Linked DNA regions of Saccharomyces cerevisiae S288C. The gene in region 2 interacts genetically with the main gene of each other region. Each region holds a gene or a part of one and is shown on either strand. Other genes may lie near its edges.

Region 1 (3,238 bases), on a different chromosome or scaffold from region 2:
AATGTGCTGAATTGTGTCAAATTTATTTTAAACATCTATTACAGGGCCCACGTTCGAGCGTACCGTTAGAATTAGTGAACTCAATCCTTGTCGTCGTATCGCAACATTGTGCAAACATCAAGCAGTGGAAGAAAATATTCGATTTGGTGAAACGCAGTTCCTGTACTGGTATCACAAACCATGTCATTAATATGTATGACCAAAACAGTAGCGAAACCGCCATGTTGATTCAAAACGGTGCAATAGAATCTCTTGGATTCTGTTTAGATTCTGATATCGTGAAAAAAACTTTGAATTTTATCACTTCCAATATTGAGTCAGAGGGGATGGAACTGGCATTATTCGGATTTAATTACAACTTTAAGAAGAGGCTGAACAAAAACGAGAAACCTCAAGACCAAGTCGTTCGTGAAACGATCTGGGAGTGGTATATGGGCAATTTTGACCAATGGGCACGGAAGGCTACAAGGAAAGGTACCACCACGGGGGATCATCTACACAAGGCGTTAAGGAGTATTTCCCTGATAATCTTTCAAATGTTTGTAGCAGACGAGCCACAGAAGATAGAAAAGTTTATTAATTTGGAGAAAGAGAAGTTGGGTCAAAGCTTGTTATCTTTGGACGACATCTGGGCCTCTGTCCAGCAAGATGAAGAGTCCAGAAAGACTATAAGAAGAGACTTGGCCTCCTTGGTCTGATTTTTTACAAGTATTTCAACACACTATCGTACGTAGATTTAGTAGTCTTCTAAAATAGTACTATAAACGATGTTCTCTTAGCAGAATTCGAGTTATTATTGTCATATACTACGAAAAACCTGTAGATTCAACAATAATAGGTTGGTATAAAAGAATGTAAACATAAGGAATATTAATCTAGTAATTTTTTTCTCATGAGGTTGAGAAAGCATCTAAAATAGCAATTAGCAAAATGGAGAAGATCAAAGAGAAATTGAATAGCTTAAAATTAGAATCTGAGTCATGGCAAGAAAAATATGAGGAGCTGAGAGAACAGCTCAAAGAATTAGAGCAATCTAACACTGAAAAAGAAAACGAGATTAAATCTTTGTCCGCTAAAAACGAGCAACTCGACAGTGAAGTGGAGAAGTTAGAGAGTCAATTGTCTGATACAAAGCAATTGGCTGAAGACTCCAATAACTTGAGATCTAATAATGAGAACTACACCAAGAAAAACCAGGATCTAGAACAACAGCTAGAAGACAGTGAAGCCAAACTGAAGGAAGCAATGGATAAACTGAAAGAGGCCGATTTGAACTCTGAGCAAATGGGTAGAAGGATCGTTGCTTTGGAAGAAGAAAGAGATGAATGGGAAAAGAAGTGCGAAGAATTCCAAAGCAAATATGAAGAAGCTCAAAAAGAATTGGACGAAATTGCTAATTCATTGGAAAATTTATGATTCCCATTGATAAGACTAAAATTACGGAAGATACAAACGACAAACGCGCTAAAGGCAACGGAGGTGATGATTTTATTATTGCTCACACAACTGATGTTGCTGACAGATGGCAAATCCTTTTCATTTTAGTTATTATCATTGGGTGCTTTTTGGAAAAAAGATGAACTAAGCCTCTCTTTATTTCGTCCATTTTATTCTAGCTTTTACATTATGCTTTCACCTTTACCAAAAAATAGTATGTATTTCTTTTCCCCTTGCTATAAATCAAAAGTACGTAGAAACATAAACAGGCGAGAAATACATATGCATATACGTCTACACTACTAATTTAATTTCCACTTTCTTAATATCAGTCAATCGAAACCACTAGCTTTCACACTAAGACTAGACCCTGTTTAACTAATATAAACTTTTCCAGAAAGCTAAAAAAAAGGTCGGAAAAAGAAGGTATACGTTTTTGCGACGACTGAGATCCAAGAAGAAAAAAAAAATAGTAATCGTTGCGTCAGCTTTATGAATAGATGGGTAGAGAAGTGGCTGAGGGTATACTTAAAATGCTACATTAATTTGATTTTATTTTATAGAAATGTATACCCACCTCAGTCATTCGACTACACTACTTACCAGTCATTCAACTTGCCGCAGTTCGTTCCCATTAATAGGCATCCTGCTTTAATTGACTATATAGAAGAACTTATACTGGATGTTCTTTCTAAATTAACGCACGTTTACAGATTTTCCATCTGCATTATTAATAAAAAGAACGATTTATGCATTGAAAAATACGTTTTAGATTTTAGTGAATTACAACATGTGGATAAAGACGATCAGATCATTACGGAAACTGAAGTGTTCGACGAATTCCGATCTTCCTTAAATAGTTTGATTATGCATTTGGAGAAATTACCTAAAGTCAACGATGACACAATAACATTTGAAGCAGTTATTAATGCGATCGAATTGGAACTAGGACATAAGTTGGACAGAAACAGGAGGGTCGATAGTTTGGAGGAAAAAGCAGAAATTGAAAGGGATTCAAACTGGGTTAAATGTCAAGAAGATGAAAATTTACCAGACAATAATGGTTTTCAACCTCCTAAAATAAAACTCACTTCTTTAGTCGGTTCTGACGTGGGGCCTTTGATTATTCATCAGTTTAGTGAAAAATTAATCAGCGGTGACGACAAAATTTTGAATGGAGTGTATTCTCAATATGAAGAGGGCGAGAGCATTTTTGGATCTTTGTTTTAAGTGCAAAAATGAAATTTGAAGAATGGAATTAAAATTAAATGTCTCTAAGTATAAAAACTAAATAAAATATAGGGTATCTGTAAACCACTAATAAAAAATAAAACAGGAAAATAAAATTAAGCAAAATATCGTTGCGTATAATCACAGCATTTCTGGGATGCGTCCGTGAATGTCCTTAACTTGACCAACATTGACATTACTCTTATTTGAAAAATCTACTAACCTTTTCTTACTTGGTCTTCTGTCTGGTTCCATGCTATGGACCCAGCAAAAATTTTCACCATCTTTAACCGGAACAAAATCGTCAGAAGATGAAGTTGACATTGTTGTGGGAGTGATTCCGTTTTTACCGCTTTGAGAGTCTTGAATATTTTGTAAGTGGCGGTTACGATGCTTCGTTACGTTATATGGTGATGGTGTTACTGATTTTCTTACGGGAGAAGGGCTAATATTGCTGTTCCAAGGGTCCAGTGAAGACATAGTGACATCCCTTGACGTACGTTTTTCCTTCTCTGGTGCTTCTAAATCGAAAAGTTTTTCTGTATCAACAGTTTTTTGTGATCCGTAACTG
Region 2 (3,624 bases):
AATCAATTATGGTCAGAAGTGGTAAAATATTTAGAGCATAATAACAGTAATATTAAATCGAACTTAACTGAAATTCGAGGTGAAATAATGAAATGTTGGGAATGGATAGGTCCGATGGAACTCAATGAACCTAAGGATTCCGCTGAAAACAAAATATAACCCACAAAATGAAACTCAAACGTAGTTTTCTCTTCTCAAACTTAATGATCTATTGTTTTTCCGAGTTGCCATATTTGTATAGTTTATTCTATTTATACGGTTATCCTAATATCTGTTATATAATTCTTTATGTAATACTTTTGTAAAGTTATAATGAATCTAATCCTGAAAATGACTTGTAAAATAATAAGAATTTTTTATTCGATTTAAAGTAAATATTAATACGACACATGGAGGAAAGAAAAACTAGACGATATAGGAAGAAATACAAATAAAATCAGAATTGAAAGAGTAACTAGAGGATTTTGGAGTAATAAATAATGATGCAAATTTTTTATTTGTTTCGGCCAGGAAGCGTTTCAAGTAGGCTTGCGTGCATGCAGGGGATTGATCTTTGGTCTTCCAACTTCTCTTCGTGTCGATCTTTGTTGCGGAACGGCTGGCACTGCACCATTTCCATTAGGATGTACTACCTTAGAAGGCGGCGCAAACCGTGGAGCAGCTGCAGGCGGAAAAGCTGTAGCGTTCGTTTTAATTGGTGTGGTTTCACGCGGTACTTGATTCCCAGCCCCTTCTAGCATATGAGGCCCCAGTTCTTTATCATTGTTCTTCATGCTCAATTGTTTTCCCTTTGGTGCAAATTTTTCATAGACAGAATCCCTCGCGGTGGTCATCGTTTTGTCTTTTAGCACACTCGCTGGAATATGCTTGGACGTAGTCTGATCAACGGTGTGCCTAATGGATTGTGCCTGGTATTTGGGATCAAAAATGCTCTCTTCACCAATATAACGTTCATTTTGTACGGAAGTTGCAGCCTTAGCTGTAACAAAGGTGATTTGTTCTGCCTCTGGGTTTGAGCTAGCAGTTGGGCTTTGCTTAGCTACAACGGGATCCTTCTCTGTCGTTAAAACATTACTGTTTGTGTTGCCCATATTTATCAAGTCGTCGTCTTGAAAATCATCGCTAAACATAAGAGAATCATCGAGAAGGTCATCTTGATCCTGTTTGGAAGCATCGAGAGATTTGAGATCAGTATCTTTATTACTGCTGTTTTTACTGTTAGCCTCAGCAGGTGCGGCCATCATTGGGGTACCTCGACTTACTGTATTTTCTATTTTCACCAGGTTCTTCGTCGAGTCGGGATTGGTATTTGTAACTTTAGTCAATTGCCTTCTTTTATTCGGGTATTGTTGTTGTTCTTGATTTTCATGCAAAGTATTCGTTCTTGAGCTTTCGCTGATTTCATCCGTTGGCCTAAACAAATTGTTTTCGTCAAAATCTGGCGGATCGAACTTCACCTTATCGATCTTTGCCAGAAAATCTTTATCGTAAAGACAATTTCCTAGAGCATTACCAAACCCTCTCAAAGATCTTTTCAAGGCATCCGTAACGGCAGATTTCTTGGCCCTTTCGAAAGCGGCAGGTTTCCGTCTTTCGTTCTCCACGGTACCATACCCAATATCTTCCCTATAAGTCCCGCTAGTCAACGTAACACGAACAATTGCAGTACACCCTATGCTAAACTTTCCCTGTCGCTCATCCAAAAAATCGATAACTACACTTTTTACCTCCGTAGACCAGCCATTATATCCAAAGATTTGATTAGCAAGATTAATTACTCTCCAACCTTCGATGTATGCAATCCTGCTTGTTCCAAACCCAACTCTCTTGGAGATATACTCAGGTCCTAATTTCTTGTCCAATTTGGTCTGTATGTCCTCGGAATGGTTACCGAAAACGGGCTTCTTCTCATCCATATCCATAATTTCATTCATCAACAACACACCAAAGCCACCAGAACCTTCAGCAGTTCTTGGCAACCTCCTTGTTTGCATTTGTTGATTCTCAGTGGCAAAATAGCTTAAAAACGCCATTCGATACCGGTCGCGTAACCCGCCCGCCGCTATATTTTTCGTCTTTTCTTAACAGACTAAAGAATATAATAACATCGAGAATCACTAACGGGAAGAGCAGACTCTTTGGCGATGAGTAAGTGTGATTGAGAAGACGAAAGGACATTACAGGGCAAGCAGATGATACAGACGCCAAGGGAGTTGTTGAATCCACGGTACACGTACCATACCATCTTTAGCGACGTGTGCAAGACCCGATTCAACCATTTAGTTACGAGGTTGTTTTTCATATGTTCTATTATCCAAACTGTGGTGATTTCACTGCTGGCGTTGCCACACTCACCGTTATGGGAACTGGCATTGGCATTTATTCCCAATATTTTAGCTCTTAACCTAGTTTCCCTTTTGATCATTGTGACAAGAAAAAATTACATGCATGTAAAGAATTTTGGGTTCGCTAATTCACTTACTTTCATTCTAGGCCAATTGTTATCAGTAAAGTTTCTTGTATACCAGGGAGTCTATAGCATGGGCAGCATCCTTTTATCATTCGTACTGGGTGTGGTTTTCGGACGTGGCGGATCTGGATGGAAGCCATACTATAAGCTGTTTATTTGGCTAGTCGTTCCCACGATTTACAACCTACAACATCATGTCACTGACGCTGACAAATTGTCGTTCAACTGCGAAAACTTTTTCCAGGCCCCACAAGACTACGTATTAGAGCGTGTCAAGAGGATTATGGAGAAGTCAGTCATTCTAAGTGTAATCAGCATGTTCGTATTACCAATCTTTACCACAGTATTTTTTTCCAGGCAAAAATCGGGATTATTTGATTCATTTACGAATGGCGTGCTAGCTGTCACAAATTTACTAATAATCTCCTGCATTATCTTCATCACTTTCGAATTCATAAATATAGCATTTGACGCACATATGTCCATAGGTTGTCTGCACAAGGGCAAGCTAATTTCGAATTTGTCGTCGACGCCGATGGAAACCCTGCTTAGTGGGCTTTCTGCAGACAAGCCATTTACTAGGTTGACTGCCTACCAGGAACTAGCGTATAGGGCCACTTCACTGGATCCATCATTGCGAGCACCAATATATCACTCCAAGTTCAGAAGCAGTAGTGGTAATACTTGGTCATTAATCCTCAATGAATGCTTGAAGACCATTCAGATAAACAATGAAAAGGTTGTGCAGTACCTAAGATCAGTACAAGATCTTGGGGGCTCTGCAACTGCTAGACATAAAAAAAAAGTAGAAAATCTAGATTATATGTATGAGAACGGGAAACTAACAAGCGCCAACGAAAGACTCTTTGGGAACCGACCCTCTATGATGGCGCCATTACGGGATAACGGCTTATTAGATGAATCACCAAACAGGCTGAGGGTAAGAACTGACGATAGTGTATTGCTTAACCGCGGAAACAAGAAAAGGCATAGGTCCTCGTATTACGACAACGATTTAGATGAAACGACACAAACTTTTAACGGCTCTATTTTCACCCACGAAACAACATTTATGACCGCTATGCGTCTGATGTTAAAAAAACTGAAAAATTCTATAATGTCGTTTATTTTCCCTTCCTACGCAGAAAGACAAT
Region 3 (4,091 bases), on a different chromosome or scaffold from region 2:
GTGGTGATTTAACTTTCCTTGCGTCTGATTCGGGTGAACATAAAATCTGTATTCAGCCCGAAGCTGGTGGCTGGTTGATTAAGGCTAAAACGAAGATTGACGTTGAATTCCAAGTGGGCTCTGATGAAAAGTTAGATTCTAAGGGTAAAGCCACTATTGACATTCTACATGCCAAGGTTAACGTCCTAAACTCCAAGATCGGCGAAATTAGAAGAGAGCAAAAATTGATGAGAGATCGTGAAGCTACCTTTAGAGACGCCTCTGAAGCTGTTAATTCTCGTGCTATGTGGTGGATTGTCATTCAATTAATTGTTCTCGCTGTTACTTGTGGCTGGCAAATGAAACACCTGGGCAAATTTTTTGTTAAGCAAAAAATTTTATGATCAGACTAAAAACCTTTTATGTATCTTCTAGAAATTTATAGTTTATAAGAGCCGCTAAAGGTATTCCTTCTTTTTGAGAAAGTGGAAAAAAAATGACTAAATAATATCATCTTGGAATGGTATTTTACACAAACTTACGTATTGAGTTGGGCTATACGGTAATTATGTCACGGCTAAAATTTTCATTATCAAAAGGTATATAGGGACTTGAAAGCCTCAACTTTATTTTCATCAACCAAGCCATTTCCTAGCTGCTTAGACACCACGGGAACATTGAAATCAAACTCTTCCGCCTTTTCCTCTGAAAAGTCGTTATCAATTGAGGCGCTGATATGTTTACCTTCATTATCGTTTTCTTGTGAAAGATTGGACCGTGATTTCTTTTGAACACTATTAAAAACAAAGCCTTTCGATGAACTTTTTTGAGGAGTAACCGAAAGATCTGGTTGGACGGGAGTAGAATCGCCCTTTGTAAGTTCGGTTTTTGGCTTTCCAACTAACGGCTTCGCCTGTAGGTTGGTAAAATTGAATTCCTTTGATGATGCAGATGGTGCGTTCTCGCTCTTATAAGCATTCTCAGTAGGTTCAACGTTTCTTGAAGTATTAAACGAGAAGTTAAAAGCAGAGGATGGAGGTTTATCTCCACCATCCTTCTTTTCAGGTGAGGTTTCAGCTACGACGACATTTGAGCGTAAGGATGAGGACCTTGCAGGTTTGTATTTAGTAAAAGAATCTTTGCTTGGCGCAGATGGTGAAATTTTGGTGGCGTTCAGTTGTTTCATTGGTTCTTCGCCTTGTTCAGGAACGTTTTGAAATAATGGCTTAACAGTAGTTTCTTCTTCACTGATCTCTTGCCTTGGTGCAGCATTTGGAGAAACTCTCTTATGTTTGCGTATTTGGCTTACATATGAGGAGTATGGATTAGCAAGTTCTGAAGCTGCATTATTCTTCTTACTGTCATTTTCATCTAATAGTGAGACCAATGCCGCAGCTGTATTACTTATTTTCTTACTAGGAGCTGACTTTGAAACACCACTTCTTACCGATTTAGCAGATGCTATACTTTGAGCAGATGTGTTGGCTGTGTATGTATCGGGGATCTTTTTCGCTGCACTATATCTATAAACGGTTGTTTTGTATGGTGAGGGCAGGCTAGAATAATTGAAACTGTATTTTCTTGAACCAATGCTTCCCAAAGTCGTATTCATTGACGCATTTGAAGTATCATATTTTGGGTTGAAGGTCGGCGCATTAGATATGCTGATTGGTGTACTTCCTGACTCCTTCAAGATAAGCGACTGGTCGATATTATTACCTTCGGCTGATTTTTGTTCTCCTTCCGAAGTTATCATGGATTTGCTTGATTTTTGTAACAATGACATCACACCCTCTATTTCAATTTCTGATAAAGGCTCATTACCTTTTTTACTAAAAAAGTTTGCAAGCTTTGCATTGGAGATGTTAGTTTCATGTGTTTCATCATACTCCTCTTCTTTATTCTCAATGTCGTTTCTGGCTTCACCCACTGCAGAAACAACTACGGAACGGTTTACAGTAGAATCTGGGGATATCTCAGAATGGAAATAACCTCCAGGCATACTTGAGATTCTTCTGTTAAAAGACTCATTGCGTGGTTGTTTATTAGCAACATTATTCCTTGGACTCACTCTGGCTGAATCTTTTTGGGTAAAGAAAGTTTTAATTTTAGAGAAAAGGCTTGGTTTATTGTGTGCATTGCTAATAATCTGCTTTCGATAGGGAGCGGAAGGCACAGTAGCGCTAGCCCTCCTCAATGATTTACGATGCATTGGATGTCGATTTTAGGATATCTTGCGGTGCTTATTTGATGTAAAGGTCTGTTATTTGATGTTTAAAAGTACACATTACAATAAGCTTTCACTTGTAAATATATCTTTTATTTTCCGAGAGGAAAAAGTTTCAAAAAAAAAAAAAAAAAAAGAAGAAAAATAACTTTCTCATGTAATAAAAGGTAACTAATGTAGACAAAAAAGTATACATTTAGCTTTTCTTTTTTTGATGATTTTTGAGTTTCATGTTACTAATCAGAACAATTAACGACACCTTCATTATGAAAAAATTAATTAGCTATAAGTCTTCGAAGTAGAACATGATATTTGGCAATCACTCGAATAACTATCTTAATTTACCTGCTGAAATAATTTGAAAAAACACCCGAGGCAGCAGACGAAAGGTGTTTTTGCTAAACAATGATTGATTTCTGGCGCCATTTCTACATTCTGAACAGTTCATCTCATTTCAGTAACAGTACTTCAATGGAATATTTATTAAAGAAAGTGCTTAAAAAAGTATTATAAAACGATACATGGACTGACTCAAGATTGAGCTAATAAGGTCCACCGCCTAGTGCTTAAGAGTTCTGTACCACTATAATAATTTATCTTGATCGTATTATGTGTAAAAAAAAGGCGCTTGAAATGAAAGCTCCGAAAATTAAAATACTTTGACTGCTTCGGAAAACAAAAACATATAAATAAATTTAAAAAATAAACTGTAAAATATTTAAAAACTATTAAAAATATTTTATATTTTTAAAATTATTTATTATTATGTCATGTGACAAGACTTAAATCATTACATAAAAGGTTTTGAAGTTCAATGTCAAAGTCAATATAATAAGCATACTAAGGCACACTTATGCAAATCGAGTTATTGAAGCTGGTAAAATTATAAGATTTTTATTTTTATTTCTTTTATTTCTGCAAATCTGCATTTTCAAATACCGCTTGGTTTTTTGCATCATAAAGGGCGGCGCTTTCAGTCGCGAAAGTGAAATAAACAACCAGTCACACATATAACTTTCTTCTTGCCATAAGAGAGAAGAGGACGTTTGGTTGAAGCCAACTAGCCACAAGAAAAATGGTACTGACGATTTATCCTGACGAACTCGTACAAATAGTGTCTGATAAAATTGCTTCAAATAAGGGAAGTATGTTCATGTCTCATTCTCCTTTTCGGCTCCGTTTAGGTGATAAACGTACTATATTGTGAAAGATTATTTACTAACGACACATTGAAGAAATCACTTTGAATCAGCTGTGGGATATATCTGGTAAATATTTTGATTTGTCTGATAAAAAAGTTAAACAGTTCGTGCTTTCATGCGTGATATTGAAAAAGGACATTGAGGTGTATTGTGATGGTGCTATAACAACTAAAAATGTGACTGATATTATAGGCGACGCTAATCATTCATACTCGGTTGGGATTACTGAGGACAGCCTATGGACATTATTAACGGGATACACAAAAAAGGAGTCAACTATTGGAAATTCTGCATTTGAACTACTTCTCGAAGTTGCCAAATCAGGAGAAAAAGGGATCAATACTATGGATTTGGCGCAGGTAACTGGGCAAGATCCTAGAAGTGTGACTGGACGTATCAAGAAAATAAACCACCTGTTAACAAGTTCACAACTGATTTATAAGGGACACGTCGTGAAGCAATTGAAGCTAAAAAAATTCAGCCATGACGGGGTGGATAGTAATCCCTATATTAATATTAGGGATCATTTAGCAACAATAGTTGAGGTGGTAAAACGATCAAAAAATGGTATTCGCCAGATAATTGATTTAAAGCGTGAATTGAAATTTGACAAAGAGAAAAGACTTTCTAAAGCTTTTATTGCAGCTATTGCATGGTTAGATGAAAAGGAGTACTTAAAGAAA

What was found. A genetic interaction does not mean that the proteins touch.
Region 1: mutations in RAD52 (region 2) and REV7 together harm fitness more than expected from each alone (negative genetic interaction), as found in Saccharomyces cerevisiae (5 studies listed by BioGRID, with this or other methods).
Region 3: mutations in RAD52 (region 2) and NUP60 together harm fitness more than expected from each alone (negative genetic interaction), as found in Saccharomyces cerevisiae (7 studies listed by BioGRID, with this or other methods).

What each region holds. Positions count from the first base shown.
Region 1 is NC_001141.2:87,408-90,645, reverse strand, and holds REV7 (Rev7p), read left to right. Parts: upstream 1-1,929; coding exon 1,930-2,667; downstream 2,668-3,238. Other genes in the region: TMA108 (Tma108p), read left to right, coding at 1-698; tropomyosin TPM2, read left to right, coding at 931-1,416; AXL2 (Axl2p), read right to left, coding at 2,809-3,238. UniProt on the Saccharomyces cerevisiae protein: Required for DNA damage induced mutagenesis. Involved in DNA repair, mitochondrial DNA repair and translesion synthesis. Has a role in the bypass of abasic (AP) sites.
Region 2 is NC_001145.3:211,997-215,620, forward strand, and holds RAD52 (recombinase RAD52), read right to left. Parts: upstream 1,935-3,624; coding exon 519-1,934; downstream 1-518. Other genes in the region: SRC1 (Src1p), read left to right, coding at 1-159; NDC1 (Ndc1p), read left to right, coding at 2,193-3,624. UniProt on the Saccharomyces cerevisiae protein: Involved in DNA double-strand break (DSB) repair and recombination. Promotes the annealing of complementary single-stranded DNA and by stimulation of the RAD51 recombinase.
Region 3 is NC_001133.9:150,357-154,447, reverse strand, and holds NUP60 (FG-nucleoporin NUP60), read right to left. Parts: upstream 2,192-4,091; coding exon 572-2,191; downstream 1-571. Other genes in the region: ERP1 (Erp1p), read left to right, coding at 1-383; transcription factor TFIIIC subunit TFC3, read left to right, coding at 3,282-3,351, 3,442-4,091. UniProt on the Saccharomyces cerevisiae protein: Functions as a component of the nuclear pore complex (NPC).